Linked DNA regions of Oreochromis niloticus. The protein of the gene in region 2 interacts with the protein of the main gene of each other region in a pairwise test. Links are inferred from orthologs where the notes say so. Each region holds a gene or a part of one and is shown on either strand. Other genes may lie near its edges.

Evidence for each region. The genes of interacting proteins can lie anywhere in the genome.
Region 1: the proteins of nab2 (region 2) and phospho2 interact in binary tests that used the Homo sapiens proteins (3 or more experiments, as listed by UniProt). The two-hybrid records come from large-scale screens. The link is inferred for Oreochromis niloticus from reciprocal best matches to the Homo sapiens genes NAB2 and PHOSPHO2.
Region 3: the proteins of nab2 (region 2) and tchp interact in binary tests that used the Homo sapiens proteins (3 or more experiments, as listed by UniProt). The two-hybrid records come from large-scale screens. The link is inferred for Oreochromis niloticus from reciprocal best matches to the Homo sapiens genes NAB2 and TCHP.

What each region holds. Positions count from the first base shown.
Region 1 is NC_031965.2:35,616,380-35,626,979, reverse strand, and holds phospho2 (pyridoxal phosphate phosphatase PHOSPHO2), read left to right. Parts: upstream 1-5,788; 5' UTR 5,789-6,028; intron 6,029-6,542; 5' UTR 6,543-6,549; coding exon 6,550-6,620; intron 6,621-6,874; coding exon 6,875-6,969; intron 6,970-7,050; coding exon 7,051-7,616; 3' UTR 7,617-10,260; downstream 10,261-10,600. Other genes in the region: syap1 (synapse-associated protein 1), read right to left, coding at 423-553, 659-815, 921-970, 2,369-2,520, 2,670-2,809, 2,946-3,019, 3,636-3,702, 4,991-5,109 and 1 more. UniProt on the Homo sapiens protein: Phosphatase that has high activity toward pyridoxal 5'-phosphate (PLP).
Region 2 is NC_031970.2:24,800,276-24,810,586, reverse strand, and holds the start of nab2 (NGFI-A-binding protein 2), read left to right. Parts: upstream 1-5,437; 5' UTR 5,438-6,365; intron 6,366-6,558; 5' UTR 6,559-6,663; intron 6,664-6,891; exon of another isoform or gene 6,892-6,928; 5' UTR 6,929-6,939; coding exon 6,940-7,851; intron 7,852-7,996; coding exon 7,997-8,130; intron 8,131-8,875; coding exon 8,876-8,927; intron 8,928-9,009; coding exon 9,010-9,124; intron 9,125-9,284; coding exon 9,285-9,482; intron 9,483-10,311. Other genes in the region: dnajc14 (dnaJ homolog subfamily C member 14), read right to left, coding at 249-540, 1,535-1,637, 1,820-1,980, 2,119-2,238, 2,481-2,587, 2,694-3,860. UniProt on the Homo sapiens protein: Acts as a transcriptional repressor for zinc finger transcription factors EGR1 and EGR2. Isoform 2 lacks repression ability.
Region 3 is NC_031977.2:18,098,933-18,108,935, reverse strand, and holds the start of tchp (trichoplein keratin filament-binding protein), read right to left. Parts: upstream 4,813-10,003; 5' UTR 4,678-4,812; exon of another isoform or gene 4,611-4,677; intron 3,979-4,610; exon of another isoform or gene 3,832-3,978; intron 3,467-3,831; 5' UTR 3,463-3,466; coding exon 3,272-3,462; intron 2,160-3,271; coding exon 1,949-2,159; intron 1,861-1,948; coding exon 1,804-1,860; intron 1,453-1,803; coding exon 1,384-1,452; intron 1,042-1,383; coding exon 868-1,041; intron 773-867; coding exon 660-772; intron 563-659; coding exon 496-562; intron 404-495; coding exon 231-403; intron 140-230; coding exon 58-139; intron 1-57. Other genes in the region: gltpa (glycolipid transfer protein), read left to right, coding at 5,310-5,412, 7,558-7,616, 7,705-7,838, 8,380-8,530, 8,632-8,814. UniProt on the Homo sapiens protein: Tumor suppressor which has the ability to inhibit cell growth and be pro-apoptotic during cell stress. Inhibits cell growth in bladder and prostate cancer cells by a down-regulation of HSPB1 by inhibiting its phosphorylation.

The sequences.
Region 1 (10,600 bases), on a different chromosome or scaffold from region 2:
TGTACTAAGATTATAGCAAGACATATACACGACTGTCCAACCCACCAGGAAACAGCAGTGAAAACAAAGATTAAAAAACAAACAAACAAACAAAAGATAATAAAGACCATTTCCCTCCATTATAAAATTCATAGTACTTGTACTGGAGTATCATCTAATGATATTTCTCATCAAAAAGACAGCTGATTGGGAGAACCAAATAGAGAAAACTCATTTAGGAGGGAGCAATGAACTCACTAATATGCCAGAAAATGACTGCTGCCTCAAGCAGAGTTGACACATTCTTGCTATAATTGGATCTACGACACTTCATCAGATACGAGATAGAAATGGGAGTTGTGTAAAGTTCCTCCCCTCGTGCATCACTGGTCACGATTCATTAATTTCAGCCCAGATAAGTGACTGTAAACACATCAAACACACTAGCTGTCATCAGACTGGAGCATCTTCTCGATCTCTTGATCCCACTGGTCATCTTTGTTGTCCGACTCAGTCACCACCTCATACTCCTGAAGTTCTTGCTGCAGCTCCTTTTCCCAATCTGCTGATTCATCTGGATATAAAAGGGAGGAAGTATTATAAGCAAAGCCATTCTCTTACAGAACAAGAAATACGTCGAGCTTAAAAAAAAAAGCATAGGAACTCTTCCAAAGCCAACCATCAGGAGAAGGAGGACTGTCCTTCTTGTCCAGCACCAGCTGCTCCATCTCTTTCCTCAGGTCCTCCTGGTTTATGGCCGTTGAGTCAAAAGCATCGCTAACAAACTCAGACACTCCCGGACTTGTTGAAATCTCCTCCTCTTCTTCATGTGTTGGCTAGGAGGAAAACAGGCAGCAGAGAAAGAGGAAAGCGACTCTTGATTTTTTTTCTTAACTTCTTGAAAGGTGGTTGGGAAAGTTCAACGTGTGTAGTGCTTTTACCTTCTGTATGTCACTGATGGAAACTGGTGGCGTTTTTGGTCTGACATTGTCTACAAAGAAATAACACATTGTTATTACAATGGACTTACTCTTTAACCTCTGACCTTTGGACGGTGTCTGAGGTCATTTATCAAAATCTGACCACAAACCTTCTTATAATCGCTTTTACCATGGATGCCGCCTGATCCATTTAGATAGCTCTATAACACTACATAATATGACTTCTTTACCGTTGAGTCCTTAAATAAAATATCTAATTTGTTTCCCAGTTCACCCAAGCAGAAAATACAAAACAAATTATGTTTTTCATGTTTATGTTGAATAATTAAAAAAGACAGATTTCTTTCCCTAAATAAAATAATTGAATCACATATTCAGATATTGTGTTGGAAGTCCACAGGTGCTACACAGAGATTCCCAAACAGCACTAACACAGTACTTAGCTCAATTTTGTACATTGTAGCAAAGTGTTGTGATGTGGGGGTAGTGTTAAAAATATGTGGAACAACTGGTAATGTGGGCTGCTCTTTATGTTTCCACCAGTGTTGATCCTTAAGCTTAGAGAGAAAACCTACATTACATGACATACTTCTTCCTGGTGATCATTTTTTTCCTGGTTCCTTTAGCTTATCAACCAATCAGCATTCTATCTACATAAACCATCACTATTGGGCAACTTGTTCTTGGCTTTTTGGACAACTACCCTCAGCGCCTCTGAAAGCCTTTGTGTTTGCTGAATTCTTACAATCTCTCTCTCTCTCTCTGCAGCCAATGAGCTACTCAAACAGACAAGGACAATAAATTCCACATCAGTCTTTACAAACACTGTATGTGCCCATTTAAATGAGGGAGGAAAAGAGTTTTCAGCGATGCATTAAGAGGATTGGGTTTTTCCATTTCCTTCATTATGACTTCACATCAAACAGACACCTTCCTTTTATTCCGAATGCTGTTACCAGAGTATCAATAAAGCCCAAGAAAAGAACACATGGCAGCAATTTCTGCCATCGATTCCAGTGTGTCAAAGAACAATTTAAAGTAGTGCTGTTTGGATATAAAGCTCTCTGTGGCTCTAGACCACAAAAGATCTGAGCGAGTAATCTTTAGTCCTCTTGAATTCTCAGACCATCTGGCAGAGGGAAGCCAACGTTTCCTAGAGAGCAAAATAAATATAGCTTTCAGCTCCTTTCACAGTTTCTGCTTTTACATTTTAAACTGATACCTTTGTAACTTTAAGAGAGCTGTACCGCTTTCTTTCTTACATGGTGTTTAGATGCCTGCAGGACTGTGAAGGTCTTTGACTGTATAAACCACTTTTATAAAGACACTACATTTAATTTTTCCACTGTTGAATTGAGGTTGTAAATCTGCCCTGCCTTCCTGCAGCTGGGATACCACAAAGTTTGCTTGGTGGTCTCTACCTCTCTTGCAGAGCTAAAAATTCAGACCTGTTAGGACGACGTCTTCAGGTGAAACACTGGCCCCTTTGTCCACACTATCCTTCCGCTGCTGCTGGGCTGCCAGGGCTGTGAGCTGAGCCGACTGCTTGATCAGAGACACCCGGTAGAAATAGTTCCGCCAAAACATCTCCTCCTTCACACTGTCAAACACAAACATGTCACCATCCATTTTTAAATATCAGTTTTAGATTGACTCTGCTATAAATGGAGGCAAAAACAGGTACATTTGCATAGACACACACTTAAATACACATAAACACACACACATAAATGTTTCAAGAGCACTGACTGTTTAGGAACCAGGTCAAAGCGCATGCGGTTGAGGAGCTCATCTTCTTCCAGCATGACTGCAGCTAAAGGATACATCTGCTCCATGTCGAAATGGAACTGAACACCAGCGGGAGGGTCGCGGAGGAAGTTCCTCTTGTCCTAGAATCAGCAACCAAATAGCTCAGTTTCTACTCAAAGCATGATTTATAAATTTAAATAAGTAAGACAGCAGCCACAAAAATAGCTACCCATTCATACATTCATACTGCATATTGTGCATGATGCCTTTTCTTACAGCGGACAGAGCGAGAATTTGTTGCTGGATTGTTTCCTCTTCATTGTAGCCGACCCATGGTGGCACTGCTGCTTCTACACAAACATGCGTGCACACACACACACACACACACACACACACACACACACACACACACACACACAGTCATGTACCATCAGTCATCAGTTCCAATCCTTATCTCTCAGATGCACACATGTACACACCTGGTTCTCTGTAAATAGAAGCTGCTTGGCCAGTATGTGACATATGCTGATAAAATCATGATATCATCATTTCTGCTGCCCCTCACAGGTGCAATGTAAAGCTGAAGATTACACAGTTTATCCCAGTCAGGTCTCACAAGACTCCCATTTTAAACCAAGTGTATCACTTTCAAAGTGCAAGTTACACTTTCAGAAATTAATAGCTGAACTTTTTGATTGATATGTTTATTTTCATAGTGGTTCAATAATTGCCTTTGGAAAACGTTATGACTACACTTCATTCACCTTGTAGCACCAGTTTAATTCTTCATTGCTCAGATTCAATAAAATTGTGGAAATATCGTGCAGCGATGTGATTTCATGATAGCATCACACAGCAGATGTTGCAGATTTGTCACTGTAATCCCAAAGGTGTTTTATCAGATTAAGATTTGGTGACTGTAGAGGTCATTACTAAATAACATTCATGCTTTAAAGTCTGGTTTACCTGATTTCTTGGCCTTCTTCTCCTGGACAAATTTCTCTTGCTCTTTTTGGAAGTCTCCTAAAAACGTCTAGAAACACGCACGCATGCACGCGCGCGCACACACGCACGCACGCACACACACACACACACACACACACACACACACACACACACACACATAAATAGATTGGAAAAGTGGATACATAAATAGAAAGTGTTAACAAAGCAAAAAGTACTGAAAAAGTCATGATAAAATCCAGGATTTTACTTGCATATAAAAAAATCTGGCAACTTTGTTACAAATTTTAGACTTCAACATTTTTAGACTTAAAAATACTTTGAAAACCTTTTTTTTGGTAATGTTTAATCTACTCAAGCTATTTTTATTGATCAAAAATTGCCAAAAAATAACAAGAAACAACAAGAGAATGTGTAGCCTATTTACAGGACAGTATGTTTATGTGGATAATAAAGCCCTGAAGTCCAGAGGCATAACTACTTAATAATACTACAATATCCAGGTAACTTCAGGGTTAACCCCTGGGTTTTCTGTACTATAAAGGTGGTTCACGTCTTACTTGGGGTAAATCGCCATCCGGAGCAAGTTAAGATCCAGACTAGAGATCAACAGATATGAACTCACTGCCTACTGATTAATCAATTCTCCAGAAAATAGTGTCACTATTCTTGGAAGATCCCTCAAACTTCTGTGCACAAACAGGAGGGTGTAAAGTTTTCTTTTATAGCGTCTATAGCATCTTTGTTTCCCTAATAAGCCTAGGTAATAAATAACATAGATTTCTAGACACAACTTTATTCTATTATTTTTTAATAAACAATTTTACAACAACTTTATTGTTCTACAAGTATTAATATCTGATCCTAAAATAGGACACCTACACTGTACTTGCTGAACTCCTATCAAATTTGTATGTAGACTAAGCCTATATTTGAATAAAAAAACAACAACTTTACTCTCAAACCTTTAAACAGCACTGAGTTTGCAGCTGAGAAAATCCAAAATCCAAATGTTGGGAGCAGGTTATGTTCACAGTTTGTCAGAACACAGAACACATATAAAGAATACCTGTTCAATCAATCAAGTTAATTTTACTTTGACCTGCAACAAACCAAAGTGATTTCAATGTCTTCTTTATTAGACTAATAAATCTTTAACATTTAAATTGATCTAGTTTAAGTTTCAGAGTTCTAGGAGAAACCCTGGGTTAAATTAGCGAACTGATAACCAGCTTTGTGTGCCAGTTAGGGTAAGCGAATACAGAAAACTGACCTATGAACTCACAAATGCACATATGAACCCCAAGCCATTTTTAAAATATGCAAAACCAGTCAAAAAGAATTTGAGAGCAAAATACCTTGTCTATGATGCCATCAATTTTTCCTTCTTCCACTGTCTTCTTGATGGTCTGGGCAGTCTCCACCATTGACTCAGAAATTTTCTTGGTGGCATTAGAAGCAAAACTGAAGATGTAACCTTCAAATACAGAAAGAGTCCGTTAATAAAATCATTACCACTGCAATAAAAGATACATATATGAGGGAACAGATACTCCTGAAGTCACATTGCTCTTGCTCGGGGTGAAGAACAAACAAAAAAGATGAACAGGAAAGCCTTCAGGGTCAACACAGATAGAAAGACTTACGTCACGCTGAGTAACTTTGAGCACATAGCTTAGAATTAATTAAGAGTTAATTATCCAGAAATTAGCTGTTCCTCACCGCCCAGTCCAGTGGACTGTTCCGAGTTTTCCTGCTCCGCCTCTGGTGTTCCATCTCGGTCAGCTGGCTGCTGTTTGTTTACCTCGGTTTGTGCTTCTACCACCTTCTCTTCCTGCTCCACGTTCAGCTTTTCCTGGTCAACCGACGTCTTCGTGACGGTCGGGCCCTCCAGACCCAACCACGTCCCTAAACCTTTTAACATGCTGGTGGAAAAACACCGATCGATTAGATTAAAGATACGGAAAAACAATCTGCACGGACTCTCCTGACTATACAACCAGGAAACCAGGAAATAAACTGACGTTTTCTTCTTCTGCGTTCTCGTATGTGCAGTTGTGGGATACTGCCACCCGGAGGCCAAATATGGGAAGTGTGGTTTGATGGGTTGTTGTTAGTGCTATGGTGGAATATATTAATAAAACAAAGAGTATTTATCAGTCAAAACTATCACAAAAGTGTTGCACGTTGAAAGATCTACACCTTTACTAAAGTAGAAAGATGGTATGTCTTATAAATTATGTGCTCATTGTGGGCAGTAGAGGAACTACTACGTTTTAACGCAACATCCAAAAGAAGCTGCAGGTGGCGGTAATGAGCTGAGATTTGTTCCACTTTTTGCGGCAAAGCAAGATAAGGAGAAGGAAGACCGGTGAATTCGTGACGGACTCGTACCGGTAATTTTGCAGTTGCTCACCATTTTACATTATTATTATGTATTTTATGTGTATTTATCTTGGGTATAGTTTACTACAGTTTATTACAGAAAGCTATGTAATCCCAGTCGCTTGTCTTCAGCACGTTAGGAACCGTTGTAACGGACTGACTAGCTCTACCCGTGGGATGTATACTTGTAAGGGGACGAGTTTACACGTACTGCCTTTAAAAAACAAGGCATTTAAAAGTTGGTTAGTTTTAACGTAGTCTTGATGGAGAAAAGAATAATAAATGTTGTTAAATAAATGTTATTTGAGATGTCAAGTAACAATCGGCTTTAATGGGAAGGGTGATTCTTAAGAAGCGAAACTGTGGGCTCAGTTACTTGTGTTTTGAGCTGATAAGACGTAAATAGGCCGCTTGAAAACAGTATCCGTTATCAAACGAAATAATAGAAGGGTGGAGCTTAAAAATAACTATTATCTTGCTTAATTTATTTTAAAAAGTTAGTTTTTGTGCTATTTTGCTTTTAAGGTGAAAAATGAAAATTCTGATGGTGTTTGATTTTGACCACACCGTGGTCGATGCCAACAGTGACACTTGGGTGGTCAGGTAGGTCAAGAAAGTTTTACTACAGCTGTTCAGATAGCATATATGACTTTTCCCAAGTTTCTTGCCATCTGTATGTATTATCTTGACAAAGATTTTCCTATTCTTTGAGCATAATATCAGTTCCTCATGTCTGTGGCACTGCTCCCGCTACTACTCTGTAATTACTGTTTTATACCAGGACCTCAATACACCATTAGAGAAACACTATGGCTGATTTATCCTGATTTATCTTCTTTATTTATTCCTTCTGTCAGGTGTCTTCCTGATAAGACACTTCCTGGCTCTGTGGAGAATTCGTACAGAAAAGGCTACTGGACTGAGTACATGGGCAGGGTGATGAACTACATAGGTGAGAGTCTGTCATGCTGTTTGTTTTTGTTTTACTACTTCCTGAAATCTGCCCTCAACATTTTTTAATCTATGCCCGCAGGAGAGCAGAAGGTGAGCCCAGACAGGGTTCGCAGTGTGATGGAGACTATCCCCTTTACAGCTGGAATGACTGACTTGCTGACATTTATAGCAGAGAATAAAAGTGTCATTGACTGCATAGTCATCTCTGATTCCAACACCTTGTTTATAGAATGGATTCTTCATGCTGCAGGACTCCAGGCAGCTGTTGACAAGGTTTTTACCAACCCAGCTAAGCTCAATGAGTTGGGCCACATTGAGGTGCAGTGCTATCATTCTCACGACTGCAATCGATGCCCTGTCAACCTCTGCAAGAAAAAAGTCCTGGAGCTTTACCTTTCTGAGCAATCTGATGCTGGCGTGGAGTATGAGCAAATCTTTTATGCGGGGGATGGGGGGAATGATCTCTGCCCTACTTCCCGTCTGAGAGGCCGCGATGTTGTAATGCCAAGAAAGGGATACACTCTGGAGAAGCTGCTAGCCAAACTGGAAGGTCAGGAGGGCAACTTTCCTCTAAGAGCTAAAAACATTGCCTGGAGCAGTGGCACTGACATTCTCCGGGAGCTGAAAGCAAGCATGCAGTCGTAGCCGTGGCACATGAAATATTACAAATATTGAGCCTGCACTGCAGGATGCATTATGCTGCCCGTATTCTTTTTTTTCATATTATAATTCAAAATTTAAAAAAACAATTTCCGAAATGTTTAACTTATTTAAAATGACAGCATTTGCACACGTAAACCAGTCTTTTAAAAAGGGTAATTTGTCTGCAGGGAAATTTACCTTTATCTTTTATCTTTGTGATCTTTACAATTTTTCTCATTTTCTATGGTGATTGAAACTAGAGGCGCCTGAAATCACTAACAATACGTAGGGAGTTCATCACAAGGGCAGCTTTTACATGTGCAGTGTATGTTGGACACTAGGTAAGAATTCAGTTAAGATTATATTTAGTATAGTATTCAAGATCTCAGTTGTTGGGACTGATCCAAGAAGCAGAGATGAACCAGCAAGTTAACTGGATCTGATAAAGTAGAAGTCAGGGAAATTTCTGAGCAGATTTGAGACATGGATTAATTTTAGTCCCAGACTACAAGAAAAATTAAAAGATGTCTCCATTGAAACGTTTCTGGACTAGGGTTTCTTGAAAGGTTCAAGTTAAGGGCATTTTATTAAACTGAAAACCTTAAATCAATCTACTTTATGCAGTCTGCACTATATCTAGCCACAGTACTGTGTCAAAATATTAAACCACCCCTTATTTCTTCAATTTTGGCAGAAAGATAGAAAATAGGTACAGCAGTTTATTGAAACATGTGGAAACATGCGTGGAAATTAAGTATATATAAGAAAAACAGCATTTTTCTACAGTTATAAAGATAAAAAGTCAATATTCGGTATGACCTTTACTTTTCAAAATTATTATTAAATTAATATTAATTTATTTTATTTTTTATTTTCCCCAAACCACGAAAGAGCGTCCTGTTTTACACACTGACTGTTGTAGTGTTTTTTCTAAAAGCACTTTGGAAATCAGCTCACTGGTACTAAAATACAAATTTATGCCTGTCAAACTTTGTCATCTTTGGTGTTTTTACTGAAGCAAACTTTGTGTTTTTGTGGCAGGCTGCTAATAATAATGTGCCAAAAGAAAAACAAACGTAAATTCATTCTTTGCTAAATCATCTGTTATCTGTAGATACACCACTGGTTGCTCATCTCTTGAGTTAGGTGTTTTTTTTATTGCTTGAATGATTGATAGGTCAGTGTGAAGTAGCAGAACTAACAAAAATGTTCCTCTGAAAATGGTCAGGTACAGGGACTGAACTAAGTGAAAAAGCAGTGTCCAAGGAAAAGCTTTGGAAGATCTTTAGAAAGCCTGGAGAACTATTACTGAACACTACATTATCAAATGAAAATGAAGTCTGACTCCTTGGAAGCAAAATATAAAGAAATGAGGGGTGGCTCAATACCTTTGCACAAGTCTGTTTGTTGTTTGTATTGAACTAACAATAAAAAAAAATCTCATGTTTTGTGGGTCTAAACACACGCTAACTCAATTTCCCAACCTTGAATTAAGCCTGGTGATTAAACTCTTTACTCAGTGGAGACCTTCACTGATTCTTTTCTTTCTTTTTTAAATTTTATTCATTTTGTGAGGACCAGACTCGGTCTGTGTTTGGGAAACTGGCTGACTGGATATATGTTAATATGTCCAAACCAATGAACAAACAATGGGTTCTGGATATTACATTTAATTACATTTACTTTATAGTTTACAAATGTTAGTTGTCTTTTACACTTTATTATTTTATTATTTTTTCGTTATGAACCTGACAAAAACACTATACAGTTCTTACCTGCTATATTCTGCGTAAGGCATTTTGATTTATGAAAAGAAAAGCACTGGTGTTACTGACGGCGTTGTGATGTATTATATTCAAATGTTCCAGACAGTGTTACAGCATGCACAATACCAGGAACTTGAAACTGCTAAATGGCATTAAGTTGTCTGTTTTAGTGTAAACTGACTAAAAATACATCTGTAAAAGGGACATTATGATGTAACTAATACATACTTTAAATAAGGTGCTTTTGTCAACATTTTGAATGTAACATTTTTACATGAACTTACCTCAGCTGATATCTGGTTAAGAAAGATTTAATACGTTTCAACAGTTTTTCCACAGTTGCAATTCTTTGTTTGGGGTGTTAGAAAATGCAGATGAAGTCATTATTATAACTGGTCCTAAAGGATTGTACTTGTTTAATGTTATTTAGCATTTAATAGAGCTGTGCTGCTCTGTAGTCCTGAATCTTTCTGTTCTCCAGTATTGTCGCTGTGTTTTACAGATCAGGTCTGTTTCTTTTAAGTTGATTTTTGAAAGCAGGTTTGGATTAATGCGACTAGTACATTAAATATAATGTGTCTATTGAATTGCATAAACCTCCATTACCTTATAAGCTACCTGAACAATACTTCCATGTTTGTTTTTATCACGTTAACTCTGAAGTACAAGCAGCTGCATTTAGGATTTTGCTCAGGTTTCTCGTAGCCAGTATGTATTATCTGAATAGACTATTCAGTTTTCTATGTACAACTTCAACAGCCATGCTCATGGAGACATATGCATTGATTGACTTTCTGTTGCCACTGTCACAATCCAGTTTGATAAAATAATATTGTGTGTTCTTAATATGGAATTCCAATAATTAAATCAAATTAATTACCTCTTTGATTCTTTTTTCTCAGGGTTTACTCAAATCCTTCTAGAGGCAAGTCTTACTTCTCACCAGCAGTGATAAAATATTGGGGCCCATTTCTTTAAAGTATTATCTCCAATATATTGCCATACTAATGCAGTGCAAACATTTTCCACTGCAGTAATTAAGATGGTTTTGTAACACTGTAATGGTGAGATTTCATTATATTGTGAGGTATTGCCTTAAATCTTGTTTCACAATGAGCAATTATACTAAAAATATCAAATGTAGTCCAATAGATTTTTGAGGGGTGCCGACTATACAGACTGTCATAAATGGATGAAAACAAGCTTCTCGTCAGAAATATT
Region 2 (10,311 bases):
AAAAGTAAGGTGGATTAAGAGGTAAAGCACCATCACTGCAACCTCCTTCAGAACCTCCTTCAATACTTGTATTCAGCTGACAGACTCCTCTTCGTGATCCAGTCTCTCTCTGCTCTGGCTGATCTGACCCCCTTGAATCTTCTCCAGTTCAGATCTTGGCATGCCAACAGGCAGGCGAGAGACAAACATGGCCATTATATTTTGTATCCCTGTGTTGCTGTTTTCATACACTAACAAGTCGGCGAACTTCACCTCTGGAAGGGTTTGCGGACCTTCTTCCTCCTCCTGGGGGGTTTGCCACTTTCAGCCCATGTCTCGCTGGACTCGGGCCGGTGACCTCCCGGCATGTAAAAACCTGTCTGACTTGGAGGAGGGGAGAAGGGAGGCGCTCCAGCACCAGGTGGGTGATGAGGCGAACCTGAGTGGAAGAAGCTTCCATTGGCAGCCATGTCACTAGGAGGTCCTCCCTTAAAGATTCGGTTGAAGAAGTCCTGCAAATCAGCTGGGTTGGTCGGACCTGCCGCGTGCTCCGACGGTGTCCTGAAAGATAAGATGGAAATTTAAGTTTGTCAAGTGAAATAATGTTATTGCGTGGAGAGGAAACTTTTTGACTTTAATTGAAATGAATAGTACAGCTTTCTTTATTGTAAACGTTGTTATTTCAGCAATACACAAGGGGGAGCTCCTCCTCCTGCCATGCATGTAAAATACACACACACAGATGACAGACTGAGAAAGAAATAAAAAGAACAAATATCAAACATGTTTACATTAATCTAATTTAAGCAAAGTCAGACATTTTAAAGCTTATTTATTTTAATTTCTTCTCTAGTGCCAAAAGGTTTGCATTTTCCCCTCTCTGCACATTTAAAAGGAAAACTCTCCAGTCTGCTGCTGGCAAAGGGCAGATGTTTAAAAACAAGCGGGATAAACCTGAGCCTTTGTGTGGTTTGTTTGTTTAGATCGCACTCAGGTGCAGACCAAAGCAACCACACAAAGACACTTTGGAGGTGGTGGTGTCAGTACAGTTCCAAATGAACTCCAGATCAGCTCGTTTATGTTGTGAACATGATCCGAGCTCGAGCCAAACCAACGACCAGGTGTGCGTTGCAAGTTTGAGCCATGCATGCTTTAAATTCTTGAGCGTGACAAAGTACTATTGACAAGAAAAGGTCTGCACGGGCCAGCAACTAGCTGTGAAATGAACTTTCCAATAGTCCAGAACACAGCATCATCTTCCTGTATTTACTTTTGTTGCTCCCACTTCAGTCACATCTGGCCAATAAGTGGAGTAAACATTGTCATGTGGTTTGTAGGGATGCATTTCGGTTGCTTGGATTTTTCTCCATGTTGCGTGAAAACAAACAAAATCACAGGGAAAAGTTAAAAACTCATCAACTGATGCAGACCACTTAATGAGTTTGTAACTATAGGTGTGAAAACGCCCCTAAGTGTGATGGAGAGGGATCAAACTGTTTGTTTTGCTTCATAAATATTAGATACTGTATCCAAACGTTCACCCAGAGGGATGTACCTGTGTCGTGTGGCATTGCTGTTGTTCTTTGAACCAAAGGAGATGTGATACGGGACCCGGTGTGTATCAGGAGAAATTCCAATTCTCTGGCAACCTGCCCACTCTGAAACGAGATAGTATCATAAAAGGTCACATGACTGAGAGTAAAATGTTCAGCAAGAAAAACCCGTAGCTTTCAGTAGCCTGTCGAAGTATCAACAAAGATCGCTGGTAAATGCAAACTCTGAGATGCACTAGTGGTTTGTTACTAACGAGCCGGCCAGGTAAACAACAGCTGATGCTCACCTGTAATATCATACACCTTGCCATCCATACAGGCAAAGTATGTGATGCGTAGGCCCAGCATGCTCGATTCAGCCCACAGGTCCCCTTCCTCGGCGCTATGGTAACGGTTGCATTCAGCACAGAACCGGGCCTCAGCGGGTTCACGATCCATCTCGAAGCGCCTTCACACACACACAGGAAACAAAGAAAACACACATGTGCTGAAAGCCTGCAACACAAGATTAGCTACAATTTTTTTTAGAATCTTTTGATTTCATGTGCAGCTGTGTGAAGGTGATGCTGGATGTGTAACACCATACTTGTGTTTGCCTTCACACTTGGTACACATCATAGTATTCATGGCTTCCTTCAGGTCATCCTGCAGTTTAGTGAGAAACTCGTTCATGGACTTTGAGAGCTCAGTTGCTGCCATGCGCTTCCTGCGTGAGAACGAGTAAGACAAGTTGTTGATCAGAGATAATGAGTGAAATGTCAAACTTGCTAAATAACTGCACTTGAGTGAGGTTTGTTTGTTTTACCAATAAGAACTAAAAGAAATAACTAAAAAAAATCACTGCATTAAAATAATTGACAAGACGATTTAAAATACAATAAATAATTGTGATTAAAATATTTCTTTCTTTTGTGGTTTTATTGTTGATTTTTTTCCCCGTGCACTTACAACTCATACTCTCGTCGTGTCTCTGGATTACTGACAATATCCCAGGCAGCTCTGAGCACTTTGAACGCCTCTCCAGCTCGTGGGTGTTTATTCTTGTCTGGATGGACCTGAAAGAGAACGGATAGAGGAAAAGGTTGCATGAGTAAAGAATCAAAACTAGTCATTACAGCAGGCATGTAATAGTAAAAATTGAAGTATTTCTGATTCTCACACCTGGACAGCCAGCTGTCTGTAAGCCTTCTTCAGCTCAGTGTCAGTGGCATGCACCTCAACACCGAGAACTGTAAAGGGATCGAGCTCATCCTCTGGTACCTCAACCAGTGCCAGCAGTCTCTCCAACTCCTGGCCTGGTTGAGCTCTTCCTGCTCTGCCAGGTGACCCCGGTGCGGATGGCGGTACATGACCATCCCTCCTGAATAGGCTTCGGGCTTTCTCCAGCAAGGACACTATCCTCTTCCAAACGCGTGACTCCTGAAAAGCCGTCCAATAGTGCTTCCCCCTATCCCCACCAATACGAAGGAAAACCCCCTTGGCCCACTGCGATCCCAGAATAACCAAAGCACAGAAAAATGTGAAACAAGATAAGGCAACTGTCTTTATCCACTTTACTGACCTAACAGTTTTATCCACCACACAAGCTCCTTTGCACTTTGCCCACTTCAGAATCCGGATCGCATCTGCCTTCATTCCAGGAACATCAGTGACCTTCACAAGGAGCTGCTGCCCAAGGTTGTAAAGTTTTACAACTCCAGTCTCCACTCCAACTCCACAGTTGTGAGTTAAAGTGACAATAATCTCAATCATCATGTGGATGCAAGAGATGCACCAGAAGCTCAGAGACTCTGACAGCATCTCCTTGAACGCTAAGATGAGCTGGTTTCCTGTCCTCCGCCGGCCCCGGTTCTGCTGATAGTGGTGGTGGTTACGTCTGCGGGTCTGCTTGTGCCGACCGCCACTTGACATAACATTTCCTCTCTGAATCTGCTCTAAAACTGACCCACCGCTCCTCAGTTTGCACTTCCTTCCACTTCCCATGTTCCTCCAACCAGACTCCCCATTCATGTGCTGCTCCTTTGCTGCATCATCCTCTTCTTGGTTTATAACCTGTGAGTTCTCATTTTCTGTAGTCTTGTCATGCTCAAACTCTTCTGAAACCTCCTCAATATCATCTTTGGCCTCTGCTTCACCAGCCCCAAGGTCTTGTAGAGTGGCTGGGTTTGGAGTTTCCTGAGATCTGAGATAGGCTGTTTTGTCCTCCTGCTCGCACTCATCCTCAACCTCACACTGACTTGAACTGGTCACTGAGGCCGAAACACCATCAGGGATCTCCTCGTCAGTGTCCACAACATCCATCTCTTTCTTAGCAGCTTCTCTTTCCATGTTCCTTACAGCAATTTGACTGAAACGCTGTAAAATCTGACTTTCATTAAAGAGTCCCTAAATCCATAATTTGAGGCCACATTTTCCCCAGGCTCTCATAAAAAAGCGAGACTGGGGGTTCGCACAGGTCAAGTTCAGGTCCACCACATCAGCAGCCACTTGTAGGTATCAAAAGGCTTTTGCACAACTCACATGATGCACTGGAGCTCCTGAAAAGCAAGAGATATGAATCAATCTCCAGGTTTTGATATCACAACAAGTCTGTGTCACCCTACTTAATATAAGTGAATCCTTGTTCCTGTTATTTTTGGCTTTCTGATTTCATATATAACCATAAACCATGTGCCTCTACCTCACACTATCCCTAGCGTCCCTAACATCCACTTTCCCTCCTCTGCACATCTCTACTTTGTCTCTCTAACTTTGTTTCCAAGTGATTTTTTTTTAAATGTATTGGGTTAAATGCAGGAAAAAACCTTAGACGTTCCAGACAACTGAAAAGTAAGAGGAGCATTACTTTAAGACAAATGCTTTGACACCAGAGCGCATAATAACTGCTAAACAATAAGTTTTAAAAGAAACAAAAGGGGGTAACTACAAATTTACAAGTTACGCAGTCAGTGAGCAATGTAGCTGCACGACTTCATCGGTACAACTGTATATGTATCAAGTAGTTACAAATACCCTCTTTGAAGCTACTTTTACGCGTATTTATGCAGATGTGAAAACAGACTACATGCAGTTACCCTGCTTTGTTGTTTGCTAATCCAGTTAGCCAAACAAGAACGCAGTGTGTCTAAAACCCGACCTTTAATAAACAACCTTTTAACTTTTCACAGTAAATAAAAAGGGTATAAAGAAGTCAGTTAGACCCTTAACATGTTAACTGTGTTCAAATCACCAGATGTTTTAAAAGGCGGATAATGTTAGCAGGCAGTCCTGGTGTTAGCATGAGGAAGCAGCCAAGCAGGATGACAGACAGGCGCTACGGGGGCTAAAATTAGCTTGCCTCTGGATAGTTAACCTGGCAACATTTCGACTAAATAAGGTCACAAACGAAGACACAACAGGCGACTGTTAATGCTTTTAGCGAGCCAGCAGTGAACTCTTAGCTACTAGCAGGACTAGCTGAAATATAAACGCCTGTTTCCCCTTCCTGTGTGGTTGGTTTGGCTACTAACGCCAAGACGTGTTTAAACACCGGGACGTCCAGTCCAACAAAGAAGGCAAATAAAATGCGTTTTGCATTAAAACAAATGAAATGTCATATATACCTCTCGGATAACTGTATAACCTTGTTTGTTAACAGACATCCAAGTGTCGGTGTTGTTTTGTTTTTTTTAAGCCACTTCTTCTTCTTCTGCGGCTCCTTTTCCCACTTTATTGCTACGTCCTCTTCCGCCTCCAGCTCCCTCTTCGCGGTTTGCGCGCGGTTAAAACACAACAGCGGGACTCTGCTGCCATCTAATGTTTTGGGAATAGCTGACCGTTAACGGCTAACTTTAGAAATGTGGGTTAAGAAACCCAGCAACCCTGTTTTTACCCGAGTCCTAACTTAGTTCATAGTAGCCTGCTAATCACACTCGGAGGAAAAAGGATAACACATTTTCCTTAATACTAAGATTTGCGTGTTAGAAGCCCACGCTTAATGACCACGATGTTTTGGTCTGGCTTATTTTTTTCAGACTCCATCTTATGCTCACAGTAAAAGGGTAGTTGGGTTGTTATTTGTAACATATGAATAAATCCCTTATTTCTAAAGTGCGTGGTGTAGATGTACCTAAAGGCCACTTAAAACTGCAAATGGATAGGCACACAATACATATCTTAGGCCATCACTGTGCAATAGAACAATCATATAAAATGTGGCAAACAAAAAGGATTGGAGATGCTGGTGTTGGACTTTGAGCTTCTTTCGAGATACTGTTAGTCAATTTAAAGTCTCGATTTGGTGACTTGGTCCTTTACTTTTTCAAACATAACAAAACAAAATACAATACTAGCATTTAAAAACTGCTGGAGCTTCACCCACTCTACCACCTCCTACATAAAATGGGGGGAAATAACAGAACTGGTCTTCAGTAAAAATTCACATCTGTCACGTCAGTTTATTCTTATCTATAGAGGTCTGTATAGTGTATAGCTGGCTGCTTGTTTTGGGAGTCTCTGACATAGTAAAACGGTGGGAACCCCCTAAAGCTTCTGCATAAAGGACTAATCTTGAAGACGCAGAGGGTTAATTTCAAGCCCCCACCACCACCACCCACATCTCCAATTTGAAAGCCGCCTCTCTACCGGGAGAGGAAGGCTCTTTTTCGGTCAGATGGCGTGCTGCAGTCCGCCCCCGTCATTCTCCAGCCCACACAGACAGCAAAAAGGCAGCCAGCAACCAATACGGTGCGCCGGAGGAGGATTTCTGCCAGTGATTTCAGACGAGGTAAGATACGCAAAGGGGATTTACTACGCCAATCTGCGCCGAGGAAGCTGTCGGCAATAGGTAAGACGGTAAGAAACGAATGGGATAATAACTGCGTTGTCTTTGGGTGCTCTCCTCTTAACATCTGGATAGTAAACAGTTGCCTCCAGTCGATGGCTTTATTTGAAATGGAGCCAATAAAACGAGTGTTTCCACTTTAGTGCAGTCTGAATGCGGTTCTGTCTGTGATCAGGAGATTTTAGTTTTTATTTCTTTTGTCAGTATTGCTCCGGCAGATCCGACCCGTGACATCGGTGGCTGGAGCGACACCCTTGCGTAATTACGCCGGTTTCCTCTTTACACATCTGTAAAGCTGACCTAAAGAAGGTAAGAAAAAAGCGATTTATGTATATTCAAAGGTTAAGTCATGAAAAATATAATGAGTAGATAGGAGCTTATTCTGCCCCAAGGGATGCTTAAACTTGCTTTTAACTGTTTATCAGTTTTTATTATTTCACTATATTTGTAATTTGTATTCTGTATATACTAGGTGTGGTCCAGATGCCAAAGTCTTTATCTAAATAATTAACTTGTACAGGATTTCTCCATCTGCAGGTTCATGTCTTTCCTTTCTCCTGCCTAAACTTTCCAGTGCTGTGTGCCATGTCTCTGCCACGCACACTTGGTGAGTTGCAGCTGTATCGGGTCCTCCAGAGGGCCAACCTGCTGGCCTACTATGAAACCTTTATCCAGCAGGGTGGTGACGATGTCCAGCAGCTCTGCGAGGCAGCGGAGGAGGAGTTCCTGGAGATCATGGCACTAGTTGGCATGGCCACCAAGCCACTGCATGTGCGTAGGCTGCAAAAGGCCCTCCGAGACTGGGCGGCGAACCCTGCCCTTTTCAGCCAGCCTGTTGCTAATGTTCCTCTCGGGGGCATCCCGCTCTTTAAAGTTGATGGCACTGGCACAAGTGGATCAGCTGGCGGGCCCAGAAAGTCTGTGAGTAATGGGCAGCCAGGATCCCCCTGTGAGAGAGAGGATCGGATGTGCCTTACACCAATGCACAGCGGGAGTCCAAGAAGCCCCTGTTCCCAGGCCTCTCCACAGCCCCCAGACACACACTACAGGGAAAAACTTTCTCCAATGGATCCACACTGGCTCAGCCCAGAGCATGATGGGAACTGCACTTTGGGTTCTGCACCTGGAACAGAAGAGGAGCCATCCAGCCCACCTCTGCTGTCAACATGTCCTCCCGGTCCTTCCACGTCTCCGAGCCCCTCTGCGTCTTTCACCCCGGCAGCTCCGTCTGCCTGGCCCGGAGGACAGCTGGATGGGGAGACAGCAAGGGCCGTGGTGGAGACTGTGGAGAGGCTCCTCACGACCCTGCCTAGGTCAGATCCTGCAGAGGTGAAGACTTTGCTGAGGATGAATAAGAAGATGGCAAAGACTGTGGGACACATCTTCAGAATGGGGTCCCAGGACGTGAACAAGGAAGAGGAGATCCGGAAATACAGTCTTATTTATGGGCGCTTCGACTCCAAGAGGAGGGAAGGCAAGCAGCTCACACATCATGAGGTAAAAGCATCAAAGTGAAGATGATGTTAATGCATCGCAATATGTTTTATACCTGATTAAAGCTGCACTTCATACCAGAGTGCAGCTTTTTATCAAATGTCAATCAGTGTCCATCCCTTCTGCAATCAGTGTTTTTCCTTCTCAGCTGATCATCAATGAAGCTGCAGCCCAGTTCTGCATGCGTGACAATGCCCTTTTGCTGAGACGGGTGGAGCTCTTTTCTCTGGCTCGGCAGGTGGCGAGAAAATGTGCCTACACCTCCACGCTAAAGCATGCAAGGTAAGAAGACGCCCGCAGAGAAGAGCAACACACCTCACGCCTGTTGTGTTTTAATGGAGCTTGTGTACCAAGAAAGAAAAAAAAAACTGTTAGAGAATCAGGGGTGTAGCTTGAAAGATCCATAAAGTCCAGATCATTCGCAGCCGTGAACACAATGCTTATTTCAGACTGAGGAGCATCACGTGAAAAAACTTGAATGAAATGATTTTATAGTTTGTGTTTAGCATGTTCAACAGGTGATTTATGTGAGTCATCAGCCAACCAGTGGATTCATTTCCAGAGTGAACCTGGTTCACGTCTCAGTGGGAATCAAACTCCGACCTGTACTGTTAGCTAAATGAGCCAACTTTTAAGCCGGTACAAGAGAACACAAATACTACGTGTATTTGTTAACCTGCACAGAACATTTACATATATTTCTCATGCGGGGCAAACAGAATGAGTCAGTGTACACAAACCATAACTAAACAGGAGTAGTTTTGTAATTATATTTCAGTTTTTCAGCATCATAATATATTATAATCGACTGTTGATGATTGAAAGATAGATACCAAGTTCACAGTCTGCTCATCTAACAATAGACACCTTTTACTTATACATAAAAATAAATTTTTTACTTACTCACAGTGAAAAAAATGCTTTGTCTTGATTTTGCAGTGATCGTTTATTAGCTATGGGTAGAATCCTCACCTCTGTGAGGGGTGAAACCATGTGCTTTTCACACTCATTTGCCCCCCAACTGCAGGACGAACGCGGACGAGAGCAGCCTTCTGCCCCAGAAGAGAGCGAGGCTCGAGGTGAGTGTCGGGTGCACTGGCAGTCATCTGAAGTGGTTCATCAGCACCGAACTGACAGTGTTGCTTGTGTGATGTATCTTAGGGAGTCGTGCCCGAGAGTGTGTCATCGCTCCTCGGAGTGGAGGGATCCGAGAGTTTGACTCAGAGGGCAGATGACGACAGCTTATCTGCAGAAAGCCTGGACAGTGTATCACATGGTAAAAACAGAAGAATCAGACTGATGTTAGAAAAAAGAATTAGAAAAGTAATAAAACCTGTTTGTTTTGGGGTTTTTTTTGTAACGATCTGTCAAAGTGTTTGTTTTTGTAAAAACTCTTTAAAGGCAGCATTAAAACCCAGATCTGTCTGTTCTGGTAGACATGGGCTCCCAGTGCAACCAGTCTCCATCTCCCCGTCCTCACACTGACACCTCCAACCCCGCCAGCTGGAGTCGCCACCTCATACAGCAAACGCTCATGGACGAAGGGCTAAGACTGGCTCGGATGGTGTCACATGACCGGGCGGGAAAGATCAGCCTAGGTTCAGACGGAGCTCACGCCACAGGTGACAATTCAAGTAATGACCTACAAGTATTATGTATTTGAAACTGCACAGAGAATAAAGGACATTTTGTGATATTTGCCCAGTTTTGTACCGGTTAAAGATGAGATTGACATTTTGAGTGACACATTTATTTACTTTCTTCGTTTTTTAAAATGAATCCACTCTCATGTGGCAAACGGGAAGGTACAGGTGCCAGTTAGCACATTCACCAATTAATTTGTTTTTGTCCTATTTGCTCATTTATATTCATCACAGAGAGGTGAGAGAGGCATCTACATGTTCCTCTAAGTATAAACCAAAACATTAAATTAAAACATAAATAAAATGCATTCTAAATTGCCAAACTCCTGCTTGATATTGTGAGTACACAGAGAATTTAAAAAAACAGAAGATGATGATGGTGGTGGGGTTGAATTGAAAATGACAGACAGAGACTCCCTAACCTCTCCTAACAATGAATATTTTATAGCTCTACAGTTTGAACTCTAGTGAGTCACAATCTCTCCGAGGTGCTGCCTCCCACCATGCGCATCTGAACTTCAGCAGACTGTAAATTAGAGAGGATAGAAGTTAGAAGGGGAAACAGGAGGAGGTGGAGAGCGATATATAGAGAGGAAAAGAGTCGGAGGGGGGAAGCTGGTTGGGGGGGCTGCTACACTGTTATAGCACTTCTTTTATACCCTGTTAGTGTAGCGTTTTTTCTGATGCATCACAGTTTCTCGCAGAAAAAGAAAAGAAGGAGGAAAAAAGAAGTGATCTGGGCAAGTTAGTCATTCTGGGCTGTGATAGCCAGCCGAAGAGATGAGGCGAGGAGGAGAAGGAAGCCAGTAAAGACATGAGG
Region 3 (10,003 bases), on a different chromosome or scaffold from region 2:
TTATTTGAACTCACGCCTTTAAGCTTTACTTAAAGTTTTACTCCAAGAGAAATTTACCTCATGCATGAGCCGTTCTCTGGCTTTCCTCTCCTTCTCCCACTGAACTTCTCGTTTCTCCCAGACACGCTGAGCTTCTTCCCTATGAACAGATGGGATACACTGATTTGTATTCACAGAGCCGCACGTGCTCCTTTCTGGAGAGTTGAGGCTTACTAAATCTTGGCGCTCACCTGTGTAAGACTTCAAACTCAGCTTCCCTCTCATGCTCCAGTTGCAGCTGCTCTTCAATCACACGTTTCATCCAGGCGGCGTCAGCGACAGCTCTTTCCCTTCTTGCAGTCTCCAGCCTCCTGTCCTCCTCCTCTCCTTCAAGCAAGGCTGCCAGGATCTTACGGTCGGCCTCCTGGTGTTGTAAAAAGGATTCCAAAGAAAAGGTCTGGGGAACTTATCTGGATTATTACACAGTAAAATCTGCAGGTAAAAAAAAGCATTTACCAGTTCTTCCTGCACTTGCTGGGCTCTTCTTCTCAGCTGAGCTCGATACTGACGGATCAAGAAACGCCTAGTGCAACATGAATCCCATATGTAAAGTACGTCAGTAGAATGAAGTATCATACCACTCTTTGTGTTTGATCATCTGGAGAAAAAGCTTCACATACCCGATCTCAAACTTCTTCCTCTGTTCCTCCGCCTTCCTCCTGTCCTCCTCTATCTTCTCCAGCTCCCACTGCTGCACCAGTAGAGCCTCTTGCTCCTTTTTTAGACGAGTGGCCTGAAAGAGAAAAATAAAAAATAATCTTGTTTACAAAAAAAAGTCTGCAAAGGTGGTTTTGCACAGAAGAAATAGTTTGCTGATGCTCTGAATACCTCTTCTTCTCTCAGCTTCAGTTCTTCCATCTGCTTGCGTAGCTCCTCCCCTCTCTTACGCTCCTCCTCTTTCCTTTTCTCCTCCACTTGTTTGATCCTCTCCAGAGCTTCTCTTCTGGTCCTCTCGTACTCGTTTTCAAAGCGTCTCGTCTCCTCCTGGTACGCCACTTCTTTCTGCATGTTTGACAAGCTGGGTCACTTACAGTAAGTGTCAAAGCTTTCTTAATTATGCACCACCTTTGAGGGGCTGACCAGAGTAGTTTGCGGCCGTGATACTGTGCTCACAGAGTACACGAGCACTGTTCAATTAAAAATAGATGCGTTACATAAAAACTTGGCCACATAAAAAGATAATGACATGTTTAATGACTCGTGGGTCATTTGTGTCAATACTGGTCTGAGAAGGGCTATACTATGAAGTACTGAAGCAACTTCTTCAATACTGGCTATCAAAGTTATTAAAACACTGAAATGAACAGAATTGACTTTGTCTGGTGGCTGGAATGATCCACCTACCTGTTTCTTCTCAGATATCTGCTCCTGCCATTGGCTGACAACGTGATCTTTATGTAATGCTGACTCCAGCTGCAGACAGATTGAAAGAGTGAGTTGTGACAAAGCTGAGACAGAGATACTGATGACCTTGACCCTAGGTGGAAGGGATACCAGAACATTTCTTTTTCTTAAGTCAACACTGGAATCAGGTTAACAGAAAGTCATGGAATATCTGCATCACAGGCCATATAGGTTTCCAGATCAAATGGATGTCTTGACAAAAAGTGTCTGTTTCCTCTACTTGGTGAACCTTCTAGACGTATGGCGTGGTCACTAGATTCCTGAAGCCGTCAAACACTTCATCAGTGGTCACACATCAAGGTCTGAGGTATGGGGCTCGGCAACTTGTCACATTTGCATCAATAGTTTAAACTTGCCTACCCTTCTCAGCTCTTGGTTGTTTCTCTTCCAGTGCTCCCTCAACAGCTCCTGTGCAAGCTAGGCATGACAAAAAAACCAAAAGGGGATTACAAACTTACATGGCACAACACTGTGGTCAATATTTATGGGGCAATGTTCCACCAACTTTTTTTCTTCTCTCTTCTCTTGCCGTGCGAAGCTCTTCACTTTTTTGCACCAACTGACTTGCCAACGTGCTCCTGTCGGGCACCATCTCTCGGAGCTCTGCCTCCAGCTGGTTTTGCTCCTCTTGCAGCATTGCCCTGAGTCGATTCCTGCGCTGCTCCAAGTGGGCTTTTTCTTCTTCCTTCAGTCTGTCTTTATGGTATGCTGACATACTGAAAACAAGAAGAAGAAAAATACTTGGGTAAAAAAAATAAATAAATACTAGTCAAATGATGACAAAGAGCAACACAATAACTATAATAACATAAAGCTCTTTATCTATTTTTTTAACTAATTTATACAGACAAACAAATATGACATACATATATATGTATTGTTACACAGATTTAAAGGAAGATACACTATGGTATACCCACAGTACAACAAACAACTGAACACTACTTCTCTTAGCATACCAGCATATTCTAATAATCCAAAGGAATTCATGAAAACATTTATTTATTGTAATTCCAGTATTTATGGTATTTCCAGGATGATCCTGGCTTCACAAGATTGGATTCCTGTAGGTTTTAGATTTTAAATTTTCCTGATCACCTTTAAAGTGTTGCGGTCTGGCCGTGAGTCTGCTCCCAGACTGAGATGAGTCCATTCCGGCTGTTGTAAAATCGAGACTTCAACATAAAGGTTAGCCTAGTTTTGCCATAGGCTACTCGAAATCTTTGATTCACTTCTGAAAACTATTTTTTAAGGATGTGCTTTTAGGTGATTCTACTGCATCTGATGTAATAAGAAGACCTTTTTTTCTGGTCATCATCCCTTAGTTGTCTTGCTTATGTTCTGGCTCCAGTCTTTCATTTATACATGATGACAATATAGATAATATAATATTATAGTAACTATCTGGTTAGCATTCCATTCAGATCCAATCATAAAATGTGCTTGGCCATACCTATGGTGTCCCCTCATGGGAAAAATACTCTCTTCATGCTTTCTATTAGACTCTGTGTGTTACCTAAATGAATAATAAAAAAGGTAGGGAGTAGTGTCAAGTACTATCACTTTTTTCACAACACAGAACTTATATATGACATGACGTGATTACTTACAGAGCCATCTCTGAGGGCAATAAAGGAGAAACAGGATGATAATGCTGGAGTACGTTATGGCAATCATGTAAAATTAATGACAAGAAAATGTAAGGAGGCAACAAAAATAAAATCACTAAATATAAAGCAATGTGTAGTTATTTAGTTGGATTGCTTCAATATTTGTGTAACGTTTCGGAGACCGTGTGAGTGAGAGCATCTATGCTGGAGGAAGTTACCTCTGCTGGTAGGATTGACGGGAGCTCCACACCGTCTGTTTCTGGCTGCGGATGCTCTGCTCTCTGAAGTACTGAGCATGCAGCTCCCACTGCTGCCGCCACCGGGCCTCCTGCTCCCGCTGCCGGGCCAGCTGGTCGGCCAGGACCCGAGATCGACTGGGCACACGGGTCGAAAGTGTCGGCAGAGCCATGAACCTGAACAGTTAACACAAATGAAAGCTTGATATTAAATTTGTTAAAAATAACAGTGCAGACATAGTTTCATTAGGGCATGTAGCCAGTCAATATGGACGAATGTAGACATCACAAGTCAAAGGTCTCTTAGCCCCATCATATATTCACTGATACTGCTTTTTAAAGTAATTAGTTACTTAACAAATATTGATGCCGAAGACAGCTCAATATCTTCATTGTTATACGTGCTCTACCCATAAAACATTTATAATTTCATGGCCGTAAAGAATAAAGAAAACAATAAGAACAAAAGACTACCAGCTCTAACTACCCATCAGCACTCGGATAAAAGGAGCGTTTAGCTACAACGATAGCAGCCACTTTACCTCTCGGTGGTACCTCGGTTTGCCTCCCCTTGGCTTTTAATTAAAAAAACAATCGACGTTTTGCTTTCACGCACAGAAAGCTTAAATTTACTCACTTCAATACTACAGCTTTCCTTAGTTACCGATACATACACTTCCTAGTTACTCACACGCTACGGGATGAAGTGAAGGTCAAATTTAGTTTGTGGCGGAAAACGCGAAAGGCATAGTTGGAAGTTTGTTTCCGCCACTGAATTTTCTTTGTCTTTGTCGTCATTAAGTCATGATTTTATGTGATTATCTCTTGGGTCAGTGTGTTGAAATGTTGTAACTTTCCTTTAAATTTTCAGTTAGATATGTCGAAATTTCGACACATCTATCTGATACTACCACTACTATTACTACTACTGATATTAATAATATTAATATTAATTAGAACTTATATGAAACTAATAATTAACAATAAGAACGAGCAAACCTACTCTGTAAACTAAACTACATTTAACACAAAATGTTTAAACTAAAAATTACTAAAATGAAATAAACTAAGTAAAATCCAAAACTGTTAAGTTCATGTGTGATACTATTTTGTCTGTCTTTTACAGTAAGATATTACATAGCTATTATATGCTTGCACGAATGCTGGGATAACTATAACTAACGAAATAATACAAAACAGATAAACAGATAAATTAGGTGGAACCAAAGAGCGATATTCCACCAGACTCCGTTAGTTGGCAGCAAAGGAGCATATGTGATTAAACGCAGAGGAAGACCAGTGTCAGCTGATGGAGCACATCAGGTGCTGTTTACTCTGGACTTGTTTCTTCTGTCTGGCAGAAGTGTGCCGTTTATCCGGCCTCTTACCCCGGCAGGTGGCGATGGCCCGGATCTATCACTAACAGGTCGATCACATGAGCTCCTCTGCAGCCAGGAGTTCAGTGTAGGTGACTTCCATGTGAGTGTGTGTGTGTGTGTGTGTGTGTGTGTGTGTGTGTGTGTGTGTGTGTGTGTGTAAGAGAGAGAGGGAGAGGCTTCTCTGTGTGTGAGAGAGATATTTCTGTGTGTGTGTGTGTGTGTGTGTGTGTGTGTGTGTAAGAGAGAGAGAGGGAGAGGCTTCTCTGTGTGTGAGAGAGATATTTCTGTGTGTGTGTGTGTGTGTGTGTGTGTGTGTGTGTGTGTAAGAGAGAGAGAAGGAGAGGCTTCTCTGTGTGTGAGAGAGATATTTCTGTGTGTGTGTGTGTGTGAGAGAGAGAGAGAGAGAGAGAGAGAGAGAGAGGGAGAAAGATGTTTCTCTTTCTCGCTCACTCTGTGTATGTGTGTGTGTGTGTGTGTGTGTGAGAGAGAGAGAGATGTTTCTCTCTCTCTCTCTCTCTCTCTCTCTCACTCTCTCTCTGTGTGTGTGTGTTCTCCTCCTCCTATCACTGTGAAGCTGCAGTGGAGGACTGACAGCCTGTTGCTATCATTTCAACAGTTAGGAGTGTATCCGGACTAAAGAGATGGCTCTGCTAATGGAGCACCAGTTCAGACAGCTGCCAGCTGACAGACAGGTGGAAACAAGACCGTTTCTGGAAGCTGTGTCATACCTTCCACCATTCTTTGGTAAGTGGAGTTTCCACAGTGTGACACAGGGGAGACTGCGTTAATGGGACTGCAAATGAAGTGGTGAATTTTAAAAAATAGATGACAACAGGGAAAATGTATAGTTGTGGTGGTTTTTATGATTAACCTCAGGCTTCCAGATTAATGCCACTGACTGATCATGCTTTATACGTCCACGACTGTTAAACTGGTCCAGTAGGTACAAAAATGTGCAGTTTACGTTAAAATTACCACCCATGCAATGGACATTTTTTTCCACTGTGGTGAATCTTTATTTGGAATTTGTCTGATTATTAAACACTGAACTTGTAGTGATGATAAATCTGTCACAACACTTCCATCTCGTTTAACAAAACGATGTTGCTCTTCCTAATGATAATCTTTTCTGGATCGTGTTTCTCTCCACCAACCTGTCCACAATCCTTTAGCATGCATAATTTACTCCACTGGCCTGGATTTTAAGTTGTGAAAATTGATTAGTACGGTGTTGAGTTCCCCTTGCCCATTCACCGGTGCCGCGGTGCGCCAGGGCATCTTTGTGCGGCTTCATTCTCTATTAATATGCCAAAGTCCCTCCATTGAATTTGCCACGTGAAACCCTTGAGATGAACCAAGTCTGATGTCGATATTAAGCTCTTTCCTCCTTGTCACCATTATTCTTCCTGACCCAGAAATTTTTGAGCCAACTTTCCTACAGGCCATTACCATCCCGCACACTCATAGTACATTCACACAGGTGTCTGAAACTCTCTTGCCTAATTAGTGCCCTAATAGACTTCACTCCACTGGCACGTTCACTCTCCTGTTAGTCTCGTTTCACCACACCAGTGTATTTTATTTTTATTTATATCTAAATAGAGACTTGCTATTTAACCTGTAGTAGTAAAAGTTAGTAGTAAAATGTCATCATGGCTTTGCCTCAAATCATTCTGATTCAATTCAATTAGTAAGTTTTACTTTATGTGTGTTATTAGTAATAAATAATTAGTATTTTTCAGAAGTCCAATATTTAATACAAAAACCTTTTCCCCGTGGAGTGTATGGAAATTAAAGGGATCTGAAACATTAAATGATGCCATTAGTGTTGTGGTGATGCATTACACTGCATTGCACAATAGAAAAGGCTTAGTCATGGGTAGTTTCCACTAACAGCTCAAGGGCTAAAGGCTGTCTGTTGTGTTAGCAGGTCAGCCATGGGCCATGTGAGGTCCACACTCGAGATGTCTTGTTGTTCATTATTACTATTCACTCAGCATCGCCTAATTAACAGATACCAAATGATAACACTGTGATGTGTCTGTTACTCGCTCTCCAACAGCAGATTTTAAACAGCTTAGCAGATTTTTGTCACCGCAGACATTTTGACCTGTCACTGGTGGGAAAACAAAGAAAAAACACTTTCTTAACGACTGTTCAGTAAACAATCCTGCACTTCATTTATTTATAATCATAGTTGTAGAGTAAATGCTAACCTGTCACCCTACAACATACCTGCCGTGCAGCACTGATGCAGGGTGTGGTCAGAGATTACACAGGCTTAAAACTTTTAACCAGGGGGTGCAAAAAAACACTGGCACTTTGCACATGCTTTTTCCAACATTTTACTAAAGCTATATCATTATTCACGAGGGGTCGCCACAGCACATAGCTCTATTTATTTGATTTGGTAGTTTTCAGTTTTAAAAAAAAAACAGATGCCTGATGCAACTCCAAAGGGATTTGTGTCTGCTTTCAGAAACAAATCAGGGGCGAATGTGTAAACCACTTTCAAAGACATTACTATTCAACAGTCTACAAATATGGACAGGTAAAATAGCAAACATGGGATTAAGGGTTACCATTGTATCATGAAAGACAACTATAATTAAAAAACTTGTCATCTGTTAACAGCAAGTTGCTAAAGGGGTTGTGAGATTGTTCATAAGGCCCCACAGATGATGCTGTGCATTCAAACCAGAGTTTAAGTCAAGTTTAATACAGATTCAAATTTAGCTTTTGTGTTAATTAGTAGGAGATGTTGATTACCTCCAAAGAGAATGTTCATCATCTCATATGAGCTCAGTGGTTTTTGTTCACATGTGTGGGGGAAATAAGTTTTGACTTCTTTAATTGCGAGTCACAGCCTGTGTAAATATTCCTCCTCAGACTGCCTCGGCTCTACTATTTTCGCACCGATCAAGGCTGACCTATCGGGTAACATCACAGTAAGTATGGCAATGAGGTAAATCTGACCCTTGACTTCTACATTGCTAATGGATAAGAAAATGATACAATAACTTTTTTATTTAACAGAAAATCAAGTCAATTTATGATAGCAACCCCGGGCGGTTCAAGACTCTCCAGCAGATTTTGGAGGCAGAAAAGGAGATGCACGGAGGAGAATGGCCCAAAGTTGGAGCAACTTTGGCACTTATGTGGCTAAAAAGGTGTGAGAAATTCTACATTTTAGACCAGGGGTGTCAAACATAAGGCCCAGGGGCCAGAATCAGCCCAGCAAAGACTCTAAGTAGGCCCGGTGGACGATTTTCTAAAACATGAAGGAGGGCATATATTTTAAACCTTTAACTATATTTTAAAATGTAGTTTTAAAAATACTTTTAACTATCAATTTGACATCTTTTCCTGCTGATAAAGAATCCCCAACAGCCATTCATACCACGTCAAAATAGTTCATCGTTTGTCTGGGCAGAGTGCTAGCAGAACTTTTTCTGTAATTTTACACATTTTTCATTATAAAAACTGAGATTTTCTGTTGAAACGACACTTCTTCATCTTTTATTAAGATATCTTAGGGACTGACTGTGTAGTTAAAAGTCTTTACATTGACAGAAAGTGGAGTCCGACCCACTTAATGTGGCCGTTGATGTAAAATGAGTTTGAGATCCCTGTTTTAGACTGTTGTGCTGCACTTGCTTTGTCAAGCTGAGAAAAGTCCTTAATCACTGTGCATGTCTTCTTGTCCAAAAGGGGTCTAAAATTCATCCAAGTTTTCCTTCAGAGCCTGGTGGACGGTGAAAAGGACGAGAACAATCCAAACCTTATCCGAGTCAATGTCACCAAAGCCTATGAAATAGCACTTAAAAGATATCACGGCTGGTTTGTGCAACAACTGTTCAAGGTGCATCCAAAGTATCTGCAAATATTTTTTTATACAATAAATGTGTTATAAGCTCATTAGACGCGTAGGCTTGTGAGTAAAATCTGTGCTCGTTCTTATAGGCGGCTCTTTTTGCTGCTCCGTATAAGTCCGATTTCCTGAGAGCCCTCTCCAAGGGTCGGGATGTCAAGGAAGAGGACTGCTTGGAAAAAATCAGAAAATTTCTCATCAACTTCTCTGCAACTATTGATGCTATATATGACATGTACAATAAGATGAATGCCGATCTAGACTACACAGTGTGAATGCAGGACTTCCCTGCGTTTTCCTCAGTGGGAGTGATGTAACCATTAAGTTGCTTATGTTCAGTAGCTCTGCAGTCCACATGTTTAAAAGACAGCTCACTGTGACAGAGCATAATATTCACTTCTGGCTTTGCTGGTGAATCTTTTCCTCAATCTTGTTTGATTCTGGGGCGAGAAATCCAAATATAGCTATACAGTACATGTTTTAACATAACAATTACATTTCTTTACTCTGTGTTTGAACATTCATGTTGCATTCAGGTTTTAAATTATTGTTGGGTATTTATATCTATTCTTATCAGTACTCAGTACACAGAAATGTGTTAAAATTATACCAGGAATCAAAGTTAACTTAACCAGACAGGACCAAGACGTTAATGTGTGAGATGTCTGATGCTGACATATTTAATCAGCCTGTAACAAGTCATCACAAAATATAAGATTAATTATGAATTAGAAAGTTTCTAATCACAAGGAGGAAACAATATAAATTGGGAAACTGTTTAATTTTGCCATTATAATGGGACTGTCATAGTGTCATGCTACCTTTAAGCAATATCTCTCTAACACAGGGCTCTATGGTAGTGACACTGAAGTGAATACAGAGAGAGGAGAATCCATATGTTTCATCTTATCCACCAAACACTGTATTGTATAGCTGTCTGTGATTGGAGTTAAAGTTAATCATTATGTGCACTACAACCAGCAATCACTATCATACTTCCAGTATTTAGGGCTCCTCTCTCTATTCCTGCTCTATATGAACATTCTCTATTGCACACACCTGTTTGTGCCTTAAGCTGAAGGTACGGCTCATTTAAGATTGTTTTTATTGTTTTATACGTCCGTCACTATTGAAGGCACAGTCTGCCTAACATATACTTAGCTGCTATGCTAAGTTGTGCTGTCTTTCTAAAGTGGTGCCTCATCAGTGCTTCTCATTCTAAAGGTGCTTTTTACCCTTTAAGCATCATTTTAAAAAGGTTTTTCATTGCAGTTTTTGACATCTCTAAAGGACTAATTTCAAGTAAATGTCAAATGATTGATGAGTGTGGTGTGTCTTCTTGCATTATGTTGCAGTGTGTGTACTGTACAAGAAAACGAATATTGTACTTTAATATTATGTATTAAAAATGACAATCCGTGTGATTATCCTTTAATTTGTTCCCTATTATTGTGTAATTAATGT